Linked DNA regions of Tamandua tetradactyla. The main gene of each other region encodes a partner of the protein of the gene in region 2 in a complex. Links are inferred from orthologs where the notes say so. Each region holds a gene or a part of one and is shown on either strand. Other genes may lie near its edges. The genes, in order: IL22 and IL22RA2.

The links.
Region 1: the proteins of IL22RA2 (region 2) and IL22 are in contact, whole or in part, in a crystal structure (PDB 3G9V), measured with the Homo sapiens proteins. The link is inferred for Tamandua tetradactyla from reciprocal best matches to the Homo sapiens genes IL22RA2 and IL22. Residues at the interface, in NP_443194.1 of Homo sapiens: Lys65, Ile66, Tyr99, Gly100, Gln101, Arg102, Trp104, Gln128, Glu129, Pro130, Tyr132, Met148, Pro150, Arg151, Thr153, Trp155, Trp156, Glu157, Glu200, Pro246, Met247, Leu248, Asp249, Arg250; in NP_065386.1 of Homo sapiens: Phe47, Gln48, Pro50, Thr53, Asn54, Phe57, Met58, Lys61, Ser64, Leu65, Asp67, Asn69, Thr70, Asp71, Val72, Arg73, Leu74, Lys162, Gly165, Glu166, Asp168, Leu169, Met172, Arg175, Asn176.

Annotation. Positions count from the first base shown.
Region 1 is NC_135333.1:136,421,199-136,428,434, forward strand, and holds the start of IL22 (interleukin-22), read right to left. Parts: upstream 3,104-7,236; coding exon 2,924-3,103; intron 2,488-2,923; coding exon 2,422-2,487; intron 2,295-2,421; coding exon 2,151-2,294; intron 1,197-2,150; coding exon 1,131-1,196; intron 1-1,130. UniProt on the Homo sapiens protein: Cytokine that plays a critical role in modulating tissue responses during inflammation. Plays an essential role in the regeneration of epithelial cells to maintain barrier function after injury and for the prevention of further tissue damage.
Region 2 is NC_135351.1:37,377,707-37,385,264, forward strand, and holds the start of IL22RA2 (interleukin-22 receptor subunit alpha-2), read right to left. Parts: upstream 3,217-7,558; 5' UTR 3,189-3,216; coding exon 3,104-3,188; intron 186-3,103; coding exon 50-185; intron 1-49. UniProt on the Homo sapiens protein: Isoform 2 is a receptor for IL22. Binds to IL22, prevents interaction with the functional IL-22R complex and blocks the activity of IL22 (in vitro). May play an important role as an IL22 antagonist in the regulation of inflammatory responses.

The DNA.
Region 1 (7,236 bases), on a different chromosome or scaffold from region 2:
CTTCAAATCTAATAATTCTCTAACAAGAGAATTGATCTTTCTGATGAAAAACTACAGAGCTTTCGATTATCAAAGGAAGAAATGCTCATGTTCACTAAAATACACTCAGAAAGAAATACTTTTTTAAAAAAATTAAGATTGAAATAGAGGGGAAATTGAGGTTAGGCTTGTTAGAGAAAATTCCATCAGTTAGAGCCTTCCTATTTCTAAGTGTTTAATCGCATCTGCTTGGAAAAGCATCTCTTCCTCAGACTACTAATGATTCCTCTGGTATTGGGGTGAATCACAACTGACAGTCTAAGTCATCTACTATTGTTCTTTCCCCAGATAGCCACCGGAGAGTATCAGTCATTGCAGAAATGAATGCTGGTACAAGGTAGATAAATTCTCAGTAGGGATTTATTGAGGGAAGCAGAAAGGAAACTAGAAAGAGAGAGGAAGAAAATACAATATCCAATTCGGACTTCCATTTCACCATAATAAATCCACTACTAATGATTTTCACTCTATTTGAATCTGGATAAAAATGTAAAGATTGTTTGCTCCTGCTTCTAAACTGAAACCATAGCTGCTGGGTATTATGTTAGGATAATTAAATCTAAGTATCAGTCACTCCAGAAATTTACCCTATGGTAAGTCCACCTCTTTTGTTATTGTTTTAAGTCTATTTCTTCAAGTTTAAAATCATCAAAGAAATGGCTTCAACTCATTTCCATAAATGCACTCAAGGTACTTCTCTGTTTTTGAACAAGTGTTTCTTCAGAATATATGAATCAACAGAAATCTGAACTTTCCCTAAGAATTAATAATACTAAAACTGAGGGTCTATTATTGCTTTTTTTGTCTAGAATTCAGAAGACTTCCGTGCTAGCCTTGTCTTGCTGGCCACTTGCCATCTCACGGTTATGGGTTAATGAGAATAGATAACCCAAGCTCCTAGCCAGCTCTAGATTTCTATGATGTGCAAAATTTGGAAATTGGTTAATAAATACATATACACATCTATGTGTGCAGGTACCTAAATTATCAGCTTGATAGTAAGAGAATCAAGTAGAAATCACTAAGTAGAAAAAGGAAAGGATGGCATATATCTGTCCTATTCAAAGATTTGGCATTAATAGTGATCATACCTTTTTCACCGTTTCCTTCAGCTTTTGCACATTTTTCTGGATATGTTGGTCATCGCCCTGAATATGCTACAAAATAAAAGCAAGAATCACTATTTTAACACTGTAGCACTGAAGTTTAATGAACCTCAGCCTCTCTGTCTGAGGTACACTACAATTCACCTGGAATTGAAGAGCTTACTAATTTTTGCCCACAGTGACCTAGATTTCACCAGTGGCCTACATTTTCTGAGCTTTTGAATTCCTCTGGACACCAACATCCATTCACTTCCCTTACATGGGACCTCTCTTCACCTTTGTGCAATTCTACTGAGGGTTAAGCTGGTGGAAACAGTGGAGTGGTTTATGCAGATTCTCACCAGAATAAAACCCAAAATGCACCTCATTAAAAACATGTACTCAGAACAAGAAAAGTGCATAACACTTCTCGCCTGAAGAGTAGACCCTCCTGGATAAATGCTAGGTCCCCTTCCCTCTGCCTACCCTACTCTAACCTTTTTTCATAGTTTTAAATGTTCAGAGGCATCATGTTCACACTCCTCTGATTTTGTCACTTCCCCTGACATCAAAAGGCAGCAGTCTGCATAGCAACCCTGAGCATTATACCTTCCTGTTTCCCTCTTTTTGGCTTTCACTTTCTCTTTCCTCCCATCCCCACCCGCTGACACATTTTAATCAGTGACCCATTTCCACATCTAGGTTTTTTTTCTTTACATCTCCCAATACCTTCTCATCACATATGACCCAAATTGCTTTTATCCAGGGCCAACAAATAAGGCTTCCGTGCAGTCATTTTGCAGACCCCCATTCACCATCATTAACTCTATTAAAGCAAAAGAAACTCTCCTGGTAATACTATTGCTGAGGTATGTCAGCAACAGTATTATTGCTGGAATAATACTATTGCCCTGTTGGCCCAGGGCGGAGCTGCTGCACCCATCAGCAGCTGATGGTGGAATGGGGGACCCTAAATGGAAGAAGGTAGGTAGAAGTGGGTGAATTTCAGTTGGGAGAAGAACTTACACATTGGCTTAGCTTGTTGTTGAGCCTGGCCAAGAAAGGCACCACTTCCTGCATATAGGGCTGGAATTTATCAGACTGGGGTAGCAGCACATCTTCCAGGGTGAAGTTCAGCACCTGCTTCATCAAATAGCAGCGCTCCCTCATCTGCAAGGCCAAGGTCAAACAGCAGTGGTCACAATAGGAGGACATGCAGAAGATGCAAACCATCATCACCACCACCCCAAATAACCATGGATGGCACACTACCCTGCCCATCACGAGTATGGCTTACATTGATACCACGGAAAAGTTTCTCCCCAATGAGACGGACATCAGTGTTGTTATCTGCCAAACTGGCCTGGAAGAGAAAAAGAATCTAAGTGCCTGGACATTGAAGACATAGAAGAAAAGTCTGTAAGTAGAGAGGTATTCCACTCTCCAGCTCCTTTCCCCAAAGCAACCCCCTTAAAGACTAGAGAAAGAATTGAGATATATGCATGAGTTTAAAATAATGCACTGAAGAGTAAAGGGGGTAATGAATAGTTAGATGGGCTGCTTGGCTCCTCTTTGGGTAAAACTCAATGTTATCTATCCTAAAGGCCAAAATGGAAGGTCCTCTGGCAAAACCAGGTCTCTAAATAGTCTATGAAGGGGCATGGGAAATTATCTCTGAGTTGCCAGTAGGGAATAATTTTGGGTTCTTAAAGATCTTAAAGTGCTGTAAAGTAAAATTTAAGCCTTATTTAGGTGCCAAGTAGATAAGCTGAGAAAAAGAGAGAAAGTGAGATGATTACCTCTTTAGCCAGCATGAAGGTACGGTTGGCGATATAGGGCTGCTGAAAGTTGGACTTGTCAAGCCTGCAGTGGGAACTGATGGGTGCAGCAGCTCCACCCTGGGCCAACAGGGCAAGAAGCAGACAACTGGTGGCCAGAATGCCCATCAGGGAAAGGTACACAGATTTCTGGGTGGTCATTGTAGACAACTCTAACTTGAGCAACCGGCAAATGGGAAGGAAAGCCTGGTATCAGGAGAACACGAGACAGACATGACATGAGGGAAAAAAATTATCCACACCAAACAAATCAATTTACCAAGTTTGCTGAAACACTTACCCGTTTCAATGATACTTCTTGTGTTGTGAGGAGTAGAGGCTGCTGCTTTTATATCCCCCAGGATGCCTTTTTTTTTTAATCATGAAAAATATGACATCAGCAATTATCTAATTTCCAGTTCAGTCTTCTGAGAACTACCTAACCACCGTAGGAGCCACAAGACGCCACCTTCCATCCTTCCCACCTTGAGATGCAAGTGTTTCCCTAATACGTCACTATTAAGGCCCAGAGGGGCTTTCACAGACTGCATCCTAGAAATTCTCTTAACCCTACATATTTTCAGAGAAAACAATTGCTTTGTCTTAGTAGATTCCAGATTCAGTATGCTATTCTTTGATCTCCTATAGTAACTTAGTAAGCATTTTGGTCACGGACTCATTTTTCTACCAGCTTCATAGATTTTTATCTCATTAGACATGTTTAGAAATAAAGGACACATGTCCGAGATGCTCTGCTTTAAAGGTAATGGTCATAGTGGCTTGTAGGAATTCCATTTTAAAAAAATAATTTAATCTCAATTTTTTAAACATGTAGAAACCTGAACAAGACATGTATTTTAAAAATAGTAAGGTTAGCTAATCTAAGTGCTGTTTTCTTCCCATTCTGGAGCTTTTAAAAAAGGAATCTTTTTTGATTGATTTTTTATTTTTTATTGAAAAAGCAATCATAAAATTATGGCAGGTACAAATTAATCTTACATTTTATTCACTGAATTATAATCAATTCATAGTTAAATTTGGACATAATAATGCTACACAATCTGATCATCATTTTCTTAAGATGCAAGTATTTTTTTAATCAAAGAATACAAGGGATACAGCAGATATAAGTTCACCTTGATATTTTACCTGGACACAAGTTAAGTTTCAAATTTATATTTCCAGACACCTCTCATCATTATTTATATGATATAAATGGATTTCTGAAGAAAAGGGTCTGGCAATATAGTGGATACAAGTTGACTTTAAATTATTAAAACTAAATTTAATTCTAAATGACACCTAAAAACTAGACTGGAAACCATCCTGAGGTGTAGGGGCAGAAAGCAAGTTTTAAGTAAGTCTCTGGGTTCAAAAGTGACAAAAAAGAAGTTGGGAAAGTTAAAATGCTTTCATGGCGCTGACCCTGACCACCGATGTCCAGGCAGAGTGGACGTGACCACGTGGTTGTTCCTCTACCCACAGTCCTCTCCTCCCCACTTAGAAAACTCACTTGTTTTCTTTCCACAACTATCCATTCCAGGAGAGAGTGGTACTTTTCGGTAAACAAGCAAATAGTTTTCAAAATACAACTACCTGTTGCTGGAAAAAGGAATGTGAATTAGTGCAAATTTGTTTAACCAGATTTTTCTCCTCTCAACTAGTTGAGCTCAGGAGTGTTGGAGAACTGAGGGAAGTGAATAATTATGGAATCTTGAGCATTTTGCGAGGTAGCACAGATCTAGGTGCAGTGCCACGGTGAAGGGTTAGGGCAGCTGGAGGCCAGTGAGCTTTTGGGAAGGATGCCTCATAGGAAAGCAGAAAGGTGCCAAAGGAAAGGTTACAGAGAGCAAATGAAAACTAGATCTGCTCCAAATTTTTTCCTGGGGCTGCTCATAAACCCAGAGAGATGAGGAAGCTTTTCTTTATCCAGTTCTCTATTTCATGAGATATGGCCATTTTTGCCCAGAACTCTGTATAATTGAATTAGCACTAGAATTAAGCTATATTATGGATTAAATAGGCTTTTGTTGGTTTGCCTAAGAACCCGACAAGTATAAATATTATTGTTCCCCTGGAGAAATGTGTTTTGACCTCACCGAATTGTAAGCTTTCAAGAGGAAGGTCTCTGTCTCTCTCATTTTTTTATCTCCCACAATTAGCAAGTTCTGCACAGATAGGAAGGACTAAGTAAAAGCATATTGAATAAATAGATAAATAGGTTCATGAATTTTAACAATTTACTAAATATCTTAGGGAACATACATGGAAGCAATTCTGAATTGCCTTCTCAGTACTTCTAAAATTGGGGTTCAAGCCAATTTACCAACTTCACTATTGTTCTAAATAGGAAATAAATAATTGGGCAATGAAAACAAATGCCAGAAAATTGCAAAGTTATCTTTAATAGCAACAATATGCCGACTATTCATTGTGTGCCCCTGATGGTTCAAGCTGTCAGTGAGCCCAAGATGTTAGGTTTTAGTGAGCTTGATTAGGCGAAAAATTGTTCTGCAGCTATACGCAGATTCCCGAATCATACTAGGCGTTTCAAAAATATTAACTATTAGAAGAGATTGTGGATATCATATAAAACTGCTCCTGAAAAAAAAAAATTAACTGGAGACATGTGTACCGAATAATTTCAGATCACAATGAGCCTTCTCTTCAGATGTTTCCTTGTCATTTTTCAAGACTCCCTTAAAACCTGGGTACTTCTTTCACCCCAGATACAAAGATTCCCCATGGCCATGACACTAGGCCCCTGCAAAGATAAACCCATAGTTTATTTTGGATATAAGCAACAATCTATATGTCAGAAAAAGCCAACCAGAATCCCCAAGCAGAAGGTAGGCTTCTTCTGTTTCATTCGCCATCCCATCGCCAGCACCTAGAGTGCTAGCACACAAAGATGACGAACAAAGACCCACGGACAGCAGGAATTAAATTACTTCCCTACTCCCTAGGAGAAGGAAGACTTTTTTTATATCACAGGTGAAAAGTTTTGAGCTCATCATACTTCTCAGCTCAAAGCACATTGTTCCATACATGGTCCCTCGTGTGCACATTTGCACGTGCACGTGTGTGTGTGTGCCCACCCTTATTATTCTCCTTCCCTCCCCACCAAACACCTCCCACGCCCAAGACCACCTCTTTCCCTGCCATAACCACTGCTCTAATATGTTTAATGTGGTTCTGAATATGTATGTACCCTTATAACACCTGAAGTCCAGTTTAGTGTGGGTAGGTGTTTTCATATTATAGGAATGGTTCTCTTTCTTACTTTTGCACTCTGAGCTCTATGTTGCCGTGTGTAGCTCATGCCTCCAGCATGACACTCCATGGTGTATACCCACCACATGTACTGCCCTGTCTCCCCTCTGATGGGCACCGCTACTGCTTCCACTTACACACCATACTGACCCTAAAACTGAGCAACCTCAGGCAAGCCCTTTTAATGGTCTTTTGCAAAAATATCTTTAGAATAGTTGTCTAGGGGGTTATTCACTGGGTCACATGGACACGTTTATTTACTCTTACTAGGTACTGCCAGATTGTGCTCTGGAAAAGCAGCATTCATCTCTCTCACATCTGTGAATCAAGATTGCTGCTTCCTTACAATATTTAGTATTAGCCATACTTAGAATTAGCCAACTTTTTTTTGCCAGTTTTGGCCGTTTAAAGTGATATCCTCTCGTTTTAATTTGCATTTTTCTTCATATTGGGTTTCTCATGTTTGTAAATTGGCCATTTGCATTTTTTGCCCATTTTTGTGTTGGGCTTTTAGTCTTTTTCTTGTAATTTTTAAGAGTTCCCTATATATTTTAGATATCCTTCCCTTGTAGATTTTAGGCATGACAAACTCTTCTCCCAAGTTGTGTTTATTTGTTCTTTCTTGAACAGAACACCTAATTTGGATATAATCAAAGTCTTTTTTTCATCATATGGTTTACACTTTTCAAGGTTTTGTTTAAGAAGTCTCTCTCCACCCCTAAGTCACAAAGATACATTTTATTCATTATTTATTTTATTTAGCACTTATTTAAATATGTTTTATTTTAGACTATACCTTTTGTTTTATTTATTCTGTGGTTTTATCTTTCACAATTGGTCTTTAATGCGTTTTTGAATGTAGTGGAAAGTAGGGAAAAAGTTTTATTTCCTTTACATAATGACGCAGTTTTCCCAACACAAGCTACCAAACAGTGACTCCTTTATCATGTCTGAATTTCCCATGTATAGATGGCTATCTCTGAGCTCTTTATTTTGCTCCACTGGTTGATTTCTTTTTTTTT
Region 2 (7,558 bases):
GAGGTCCCGGAGCCAGCACTGTCACCCCAGTGAAGTCCAATTTACTCACATTTTGTACTGCACGAAGTAGAGGGTGGTGGCCCCAACCAGCGCCTTCCCAGGCTGCCAGTGCAGAACGTTGCGAAAATTTCGGGACTGAAATCGAACCTTCTGGGGCCTCAGAGGTTCACGGGCTGGCTGGGTCTCTAAAATGATGAGAAAAAGGAGAAACCCTTGACGTTGATAGAGGCAGCCTTGTTTTACCAGTAGTAGCAAGGTCATGCCTGCCTTGGGATTCCCTGAAGTGTTTTCTCTACACCGCTGTGTGCAGAGGGTGGAGCTGGAGCCCAGAAGTCAACATCTTCAATCTTCAATGCCATGATTTTGATGGACGCAAACATTTCAGGACAATTGCATCCTAGATTTTTTAAAGGCAATATTCACCTATCACACTCCTCAAGCTAGAGAGGAAGTAAGCATCAGTAAAGAAAACCATTCCCTTAGACCCTTGCTGGATGGTAATGGAAGGGGATGGCCGAGACCAGAGGCCATACACGCCAAGGCTCCTCAGCCCACCCAGGGCCCCACTGCTGTGAGGCAAAGTGTGCCTGGAATTGATTTTGGCTCCTAGCTGCTCAGCTGGACTGGGCCAGCTAAGAACCCATGCTAGTGCCTGGTGTCCTTAGAGGATGGGGTGACTTAGCTCAGGTGTGGCCTGTGCTTTCTTCCTCAAGACAGGAGACATAGGAAGCCCAACTTCACCTGATATAGTTCCCTGGGAGCAAGAGCCCTTGGACAAAGTTGTATTCTAGGGTCTGAAGTTTATGATGAGGAGTAGGGGATTAGGCAGAAGGAGGATCAGGGGGCTACCCTCCGTTCTCCCTGACCTCCATTTCCCTGAGCTCCTCAGCCTTCTTACTCTCACTCTACCTGCTGGGGACCAGCCCACTCAAGGGGCTCTGCATTGGTGCTTCTCTTTTTCTGGAATGTTCTCCCCTGGGATTCTACACAGCTCGTTTCCTCGCCTCCTTCAAGTCTCGCTGGAATATCACCTTACTGAGATGCAGGCAGATACTCTAAGCCAATGATCTCAGTTCTAGATTTCAAGATCTGTTATTTTGTAGTGAATGGGGCTGTTTCCTCAAGGTATTTATTTCTACCAATCAAATGGTGTTTGTTTTTATTTTCAATAAGTCCTTGAGTGTCTCAAATGATAGCATGTGCTTGGAAAGCATCTGGGGCCACTGTTGATTTTACTCATCAGAATCACTACCTCATCAGTCATGTATAGGACATAAATTTCCAAGTTGGTTTGCTAACCTGAAGATAGATGCTGTGGTAGTTTGGAGCTGTGTGTACCCCAGACAGACGTGCTCTTATACATAATTCATTCTGGTGTGTGTGAACCCATTGTAGGGAGGACCTTTTGATGAGGTCACTTCCGTTAAGGATGTCCCTTTTCAATCAGGATGGGTCTTACCCCTATTTGTGGCATCCTTTATAAGTGGAGTGAAATTCAGATGGACAGACAGAGAGAAAGCCGCCAAGGGAGCAGCCAGAAGCTGAACATCAGCGGAACATGTAAGAGAAGGGAGAGTACAGGGGACACTGCTGTGTGCCAGCTAAGGACCAGCAGCCAGCCCCAGGACACCACAGTCTCCAGGAGAAAGCATCACCTTGGTGATTCCTTGATTTGGACTTTTTTCCTAACCTCAAAACCATGAAGCATTAAATTCCTATTGTTTAAGCCAACCCATTGTATAGTATTTGCTTGAGCAGCCAAGGAAACTAAAACAGAAGCTCAATGCACTTTACCTCCTATGTCTATAGATTCCTTCTCTTATTATTGTAACAACAATTCCAGCATCACCAAGGATGACCCACTGGGCACCAGATGCTGGGGATGGGGGTGGGGGGACTCTACCTGCATTACTGCAGCTCACCTGCCAGCTGGTCTACGAGGATGTGCTGTTTCTGCCTCCCTCTCGTAGAATAGAAAACTAAGGCTTTAGTGAAACTAGTTTTGCACCCAGACAGTCTGACTCCAGAGCCTGCCACTTCCCTATCCAGAGAACCAGAGCAAAGCTTCAGGAGAGAGGAGGAGCAGAGGGAGGAGGCAGAGAATGAGAGGCGGAGCAAGTCCTCTTTGCCGCCCTGCCTCCCCTCTTCCCTCTGGCACTCATTCATCGAGTGTGCCCTATAGATCAGAGGCTGTGCTCGGAACTTTACATCTTACTGAATTCTCATGACTCTCAGAGAAAGTGAGCATTTAACTATTCCATTTTACAGATGGGGAAGCTGAGGCTTAAAGATGTCCTGTCTCTTGACCTAAGTGACAGGGCCATGAAAATGCACAACCAGGATCATTTTGGTAGCATCTGAATCCCAGCCAAAGTTTGCTAATGAGTTGGTATTATCAAGGGCAGAGGTGCAGTTTCCTCAAATCCTCACCCGGTGGAGGGCAGAGGCCTGGCTTGTGCTTATGCACCTGTCACTAGCCTCTGTGTGCTCTTAGGAAATACCTGAGCCTCTTGCACTGACAGGGACCCACCGCAAACCATGACCGGCCCCGGGATGCATTGTGATAAGATGCTCCAGCTCCCGAAGCATTCCCTGTGTGACCCAGCAAATCCTCACATGCTCTTCTGGGTCCCCATTCTCTGCCAGCCACTGCCCCACCTGCCTGGCATCTCCACATTCACGTGATCTTCACAATCACCAACAGCCTCTGTTCTGCAGGTGAGGAAATTGAGGCACACAGAAGGGGATGTAACTTGCCCCAGGCAGAGTAGAAATTCAACTTCAGGCAGTTTGGCTGAGGAATCTATGCTCCCTGGCCCCTAGAAGGCAAAGGAAACTCTCGGCAGAGAGAGCAAGCCAGTGCACGTTCGTCCAGCTGCACGTTTCTTATACCCTCTAGGGTGTTTGCTCCTTTGAAGATATGTCTCAAGGACATGTGGAGTTCATCTGGCTGCAGAGTAACTGACCCTATGTCTTTCCCTTCATTGGTGACAGAAGAAAGCTGAAATGTTGATAAAGCCCAGAAAAGAGCCAGTGCCCTTTCTAACAGGTCTTTGATCATCTGGCAAAGCTGTGAGCAATTAACAAGAAAGAAAACACTTACCTCCCACACCGGCCAGGAGGATGAGGATGCCTAGAAAGCCGAGTTGGGGCCCCATGGTCCCGAGCGCGAGTGGCGGGTGCCCCATGTCTCCTTCAGCGAGAGGCAGCTCACGGTGAACGGGGAACTGGAAGATTCCCACGCCAATATCTGGCCCCCTGGGTTTAACCAAAGCCAATTGTTCCTGAAGCAACCACAATTCCTTTGTGTAACTACATTGCATGCTTTTATTTGTGTAGGGGAGTTAAAAAGTCCAAAGTGTCATTTCAGAACCCCGTGCGGTGCATCTCCTTTACAACACGGCAGCGCGCGGTGGCTGGGACCGGCGCTTCGTCAGCTGGGAGAAGGTACAACGTAGAGCCCTGGCACACCTGGCGGGGCAGGAAATTGTGCAAGGGGCACGCAGGTGAGCGAGAAGAGGCTCAGGAGGCCCGGAGGGGATCTGTCAGGAAGCAGGGTGTGGCTGTTGGGAAGATTCTGAGTGATGTGCTCGGCAGTGGCTCAAGGCGACTGGCGGACCCTGCTCTGTTTCTGTCTTTGCCTCCTTTAGGTCCAGGCTGACCCCTCGGGGGACCCACTTCCCTCCCGCCACCCTCTAGCTTTCCAAAGCCCCCCTGCCATCCTCACCACCCTGCCTGCTCAGAGACCCGTTCATGAATGATGACTCTCCCTTTTCCGTCCCCATCCTTGGGCTCCAGGACTCATCAATCTGGACAAAGATTATGAGTTTGTCAAACCAAAAGACCCCCTCCATGAGAAGGTACACGGAGGACGAGGCTGTGAGCTGCTACCTTAGGTCTTCGTTCATATCGCCCCTGAAATCTGTTTGAGCCAAGCCATCTGTTCTTTGCCCATGAGTCATTGTAACATTTTTCTTACTGATATTTTTTTTTACTGCATGTTTTCAGAGGCACTAAAAATACACATTAAAGCACAAGAAAGTTGCAAAGATTTTTTTTTTTAAAGAGAGGCTTAGGTCAAAAGAGGAAATATATTCTGGCTTTTTTTTCCTTTTGTGTATCTCTTTGAGTCTTTGGTGCCATGTCCCCTTTAGTAAGGAGTAGTGATGGTTTCTGAGCAGTACCCATTCATTCATTCACTCATTCATTCAATAGCATTAAGCACATATTTGCGGCCCTAGCATGAACTAGGTGTTCTCAGCACCCAGGATGCAGCAGAAAACAAGACACGAAGTCGCTGCCTTCCCTAAGCTCCTCTAAAGGGAAAAACAGAAAACAAAGAGCTCTGGCAGGGCCCTGGCTACTGGTAATCTCTCCTCCTTAAATGGGAGGCCAAATGTTCTGGAAGCCTGTTTGCAAAGCCACTTTTCTCACCACCACCCCCCGACCCTCCCCAAAAAAGAATAGGTGAGGCCCAGGGCTGTGGGAAGGGAGGGAAGGAATGAGGGAGCTGAAGTGGGGGTGGGCCCAGCTGCTGGGTGGGAGGTACATGGAGTTCTCAGAGAGGGCTGGGGAGGAGATTCTGGGTGAGAAAGGAGCACAGGGGACATTGTTCTCGAGTGTGGAATCCTTGCCACCCCATGCCCAGCCTCTGTGTACAACAGCTCTGGACCGTCGTGTGCCTGGCACGGTGAGCCTTGGGTGCAGCTGGGGACACCTGGGGAGCCCCACCCCTGATGAAGGTGTCTTGGAACAGAGCCCAGTGGGAATTTCCTTAGGGACCAGGGTAGGGTGAACCCAGGGCCACTGCCACACGATAAACTCCACAGTTACTCAAGGACCGATATGACACATGCTTTCTGAAGCCAAGGCAGCGTGGAGGGGCTTGTGACGGTGACACGGGGATTTCTGTGTGTCTGTGCTGAGTCAGACTTCAGAGTCCAGACACCTTGTCTCCTCCAGGGGAGGGTCCCTGTCTCGTAAGCTAACTATGCTTTTGAAGAAGGGATGAGACACAGGCCTTGTGTCCCTCATTTGCCCCTTGTCTGCTATCTCTCATCACCGTCCGTCTCTGACTTGTTGGCATTATCTGATGACTCTAGATTTTGCGTAAACCTTGGTTTTTAAATGGGGGATAACTCGGTTTGAACTAGCGGTGCTCAGTATCTTCAACGTTACTAGCTCTTGTTTCCAATTGAACAAATTGTGACAAATTCCAGTTAAACAAAAAGAAAAATATGTTAATTCAAGGTTTGATAGGTAGTGCAGCTGAGAATGAAGCTGGGGTTTCCAAAAGGGGTTCCTGACTTTGAAGAACAAATAAGGGGAAAATAAGAGGAGAAAGGAATAGAGAATATGCTGAGAGCAGCATCTCCCAAAGATGTGAACTTCTTTGCTCTGTTAAATTTCCAAAACCAAAACCAGTGCTTTCCCAATTCAGTGGGCTCTCATTGTGTGAAATCACCTGGAAGCCAAAGCCACCTGCAAGGCTGCGAGGTTGACGGAAAGGTGAAATTAAATTAGAATTTCCCACCAGTGGGGAAGCAGAAAAATTTGTCACACAGTTGTCTCAAATGAAATGACCTTTGGTTTGGGAAAGAAGAAAATCACAGTTGATGGAGCCCCCCGCCACTCATGCAACCCAGTTATATATGTGCCTGCTGTGAGAGCTTACAATCTAGGAACCTTTCAATGAGCCTTCCCCTGATAACCTATGCTTTCAAATTCAATGCTTCACTTCAAGCACGAAATGCCCGCTTCAGACCATTCTCTGTGCCCAGCCCCATAGAGAGAGCCTGCTGGATGCGCCAGAGAGGTCCCCAGGGTGCCCAGACAATTCCTGGAGCCCCTGCCTGGCCAGACTTGCTTCGCGTCTTCCTTTCTCCTTGAGGCTGCCCACAGACCAGCCACTCATCTCATTAAGGAATTGTTATTAGTTATTCTTAGGTTGATACAGGTGTGGTGGTTATTTTTATAATCATTGTGAAGTTATTTTTAGAGATATATATTGATGTATTTACAGATGAAATGATATGATGGCCAGGATTTACTTTCAGATAATCCAAGGGGTTGGGGAAGGGACTGATAGCCACAAATTAATAATTGTCAAAATGGGCAATTAGGTTCATAGGCAGTTCACTATATTCTCTATTTTTGTATATGTTGGACATTTTTCATAACAAAAGAAAAAAGATTAAACATTTTACCTACAAGTTGCTACCCTTATAAAACTCCTCTGGTCATTTGAATGCCATTTTGGGGTTGATAATGATCTAAGTGTTTACTCTATCATTGTGGAGCCCTGAGTTAAGTCCTTTGCATACTGTCTAAGGTTGCTAGAGCTGCTATGACAAATACCATGCAAAGTGTTGGCTTAAACAATCGGAATTTATTGCCTCATGATTTTGGAGGCTAGAAGGCTGGCTTCCCCCCAGGGACAGAAGCATTTAGTGCTAGCTTGCCACAATCCTCAAGATTCCTTGGCTTGTATCTCTGCCAGCCATCACATGATGATGTCCTCTCCATTCTCTTCTGGGTTTCCACTGAGTTCCAGTCTTTGGCTTATCACTTGGCTTTCTCTTTATAAAGCCTCTAGTAATCTGGATTAAGGCCCACCTTGGTTCAATTGGCCATGCCTCTACTAAAAATAGCATCATCAAAAAGGTCCTACTTACACATAGGGTGCTATATGTGCTGCTTTGAAACAGTCATGTACCCCAGAAGAGCCATGCTTTTAAAATCTAATCATGTGGGGCAGACCCATTGCAGGTGGGAACTTTGATTAGTTTATTTCTATGGAGATGTGACCCCAACCATTCAATCTGTGTCTTAATTAGTTTGCTGGAGTCCTGAAAAGAGCACATGGAGAGGGAGAGAGAGAGAGAGAGAAAGAGACAGAGAGACAGAGAGAGAGAGAGAGTTCAGAGTGGACACAGCAGAGAAATGAAACCAGACACAGACTTTTGGAGATGCTAAGCTAAGAGATGAAACCCAGAGTCTGCCTGGGGATGCTAAATGAGGGTCCACAGACACTTAGAGAGAAAGCCAATGGAAACAGGAGCTGAAAGAGCCATTTGAAACCAGAATCTGGGAGAGAAGGCCAGCAGGCATCACCATGTGCTTTTTCCTGTGACAGAGGAACCTGGATGCAATTGGCTTTTCTTGAGTGAAGGTATCTTCTTGTTGATGCATTAATTTGGACATTTTCAAGGCCTTGGAACTGTAAATTTGTAATCTAATAAATTCCTCTTGTAAAAGCCAATCCATTTCTGGTATATTGCATTCCAGCTGCTTTAGCGAACCAAAATACTATATGATCTTGCAACCTTATTATTAGATATATACTTAGAAGAACTGAAAGCAGGGACACAGATAGACATTTGCACACTGGTGTTTACAATGGCAATAGTCATGATTTGCAATGGATAGAGGGGGCTTAAGCGTACATTGACTGATGAACAGAAGAGTGAACTGTGGCGTAGACATACAATGGAATACAAAGTGGCTCCAAAAGGGAATGGAGTTGTGGGGCATGCAACTAGGTGAATGAAACTTGAGG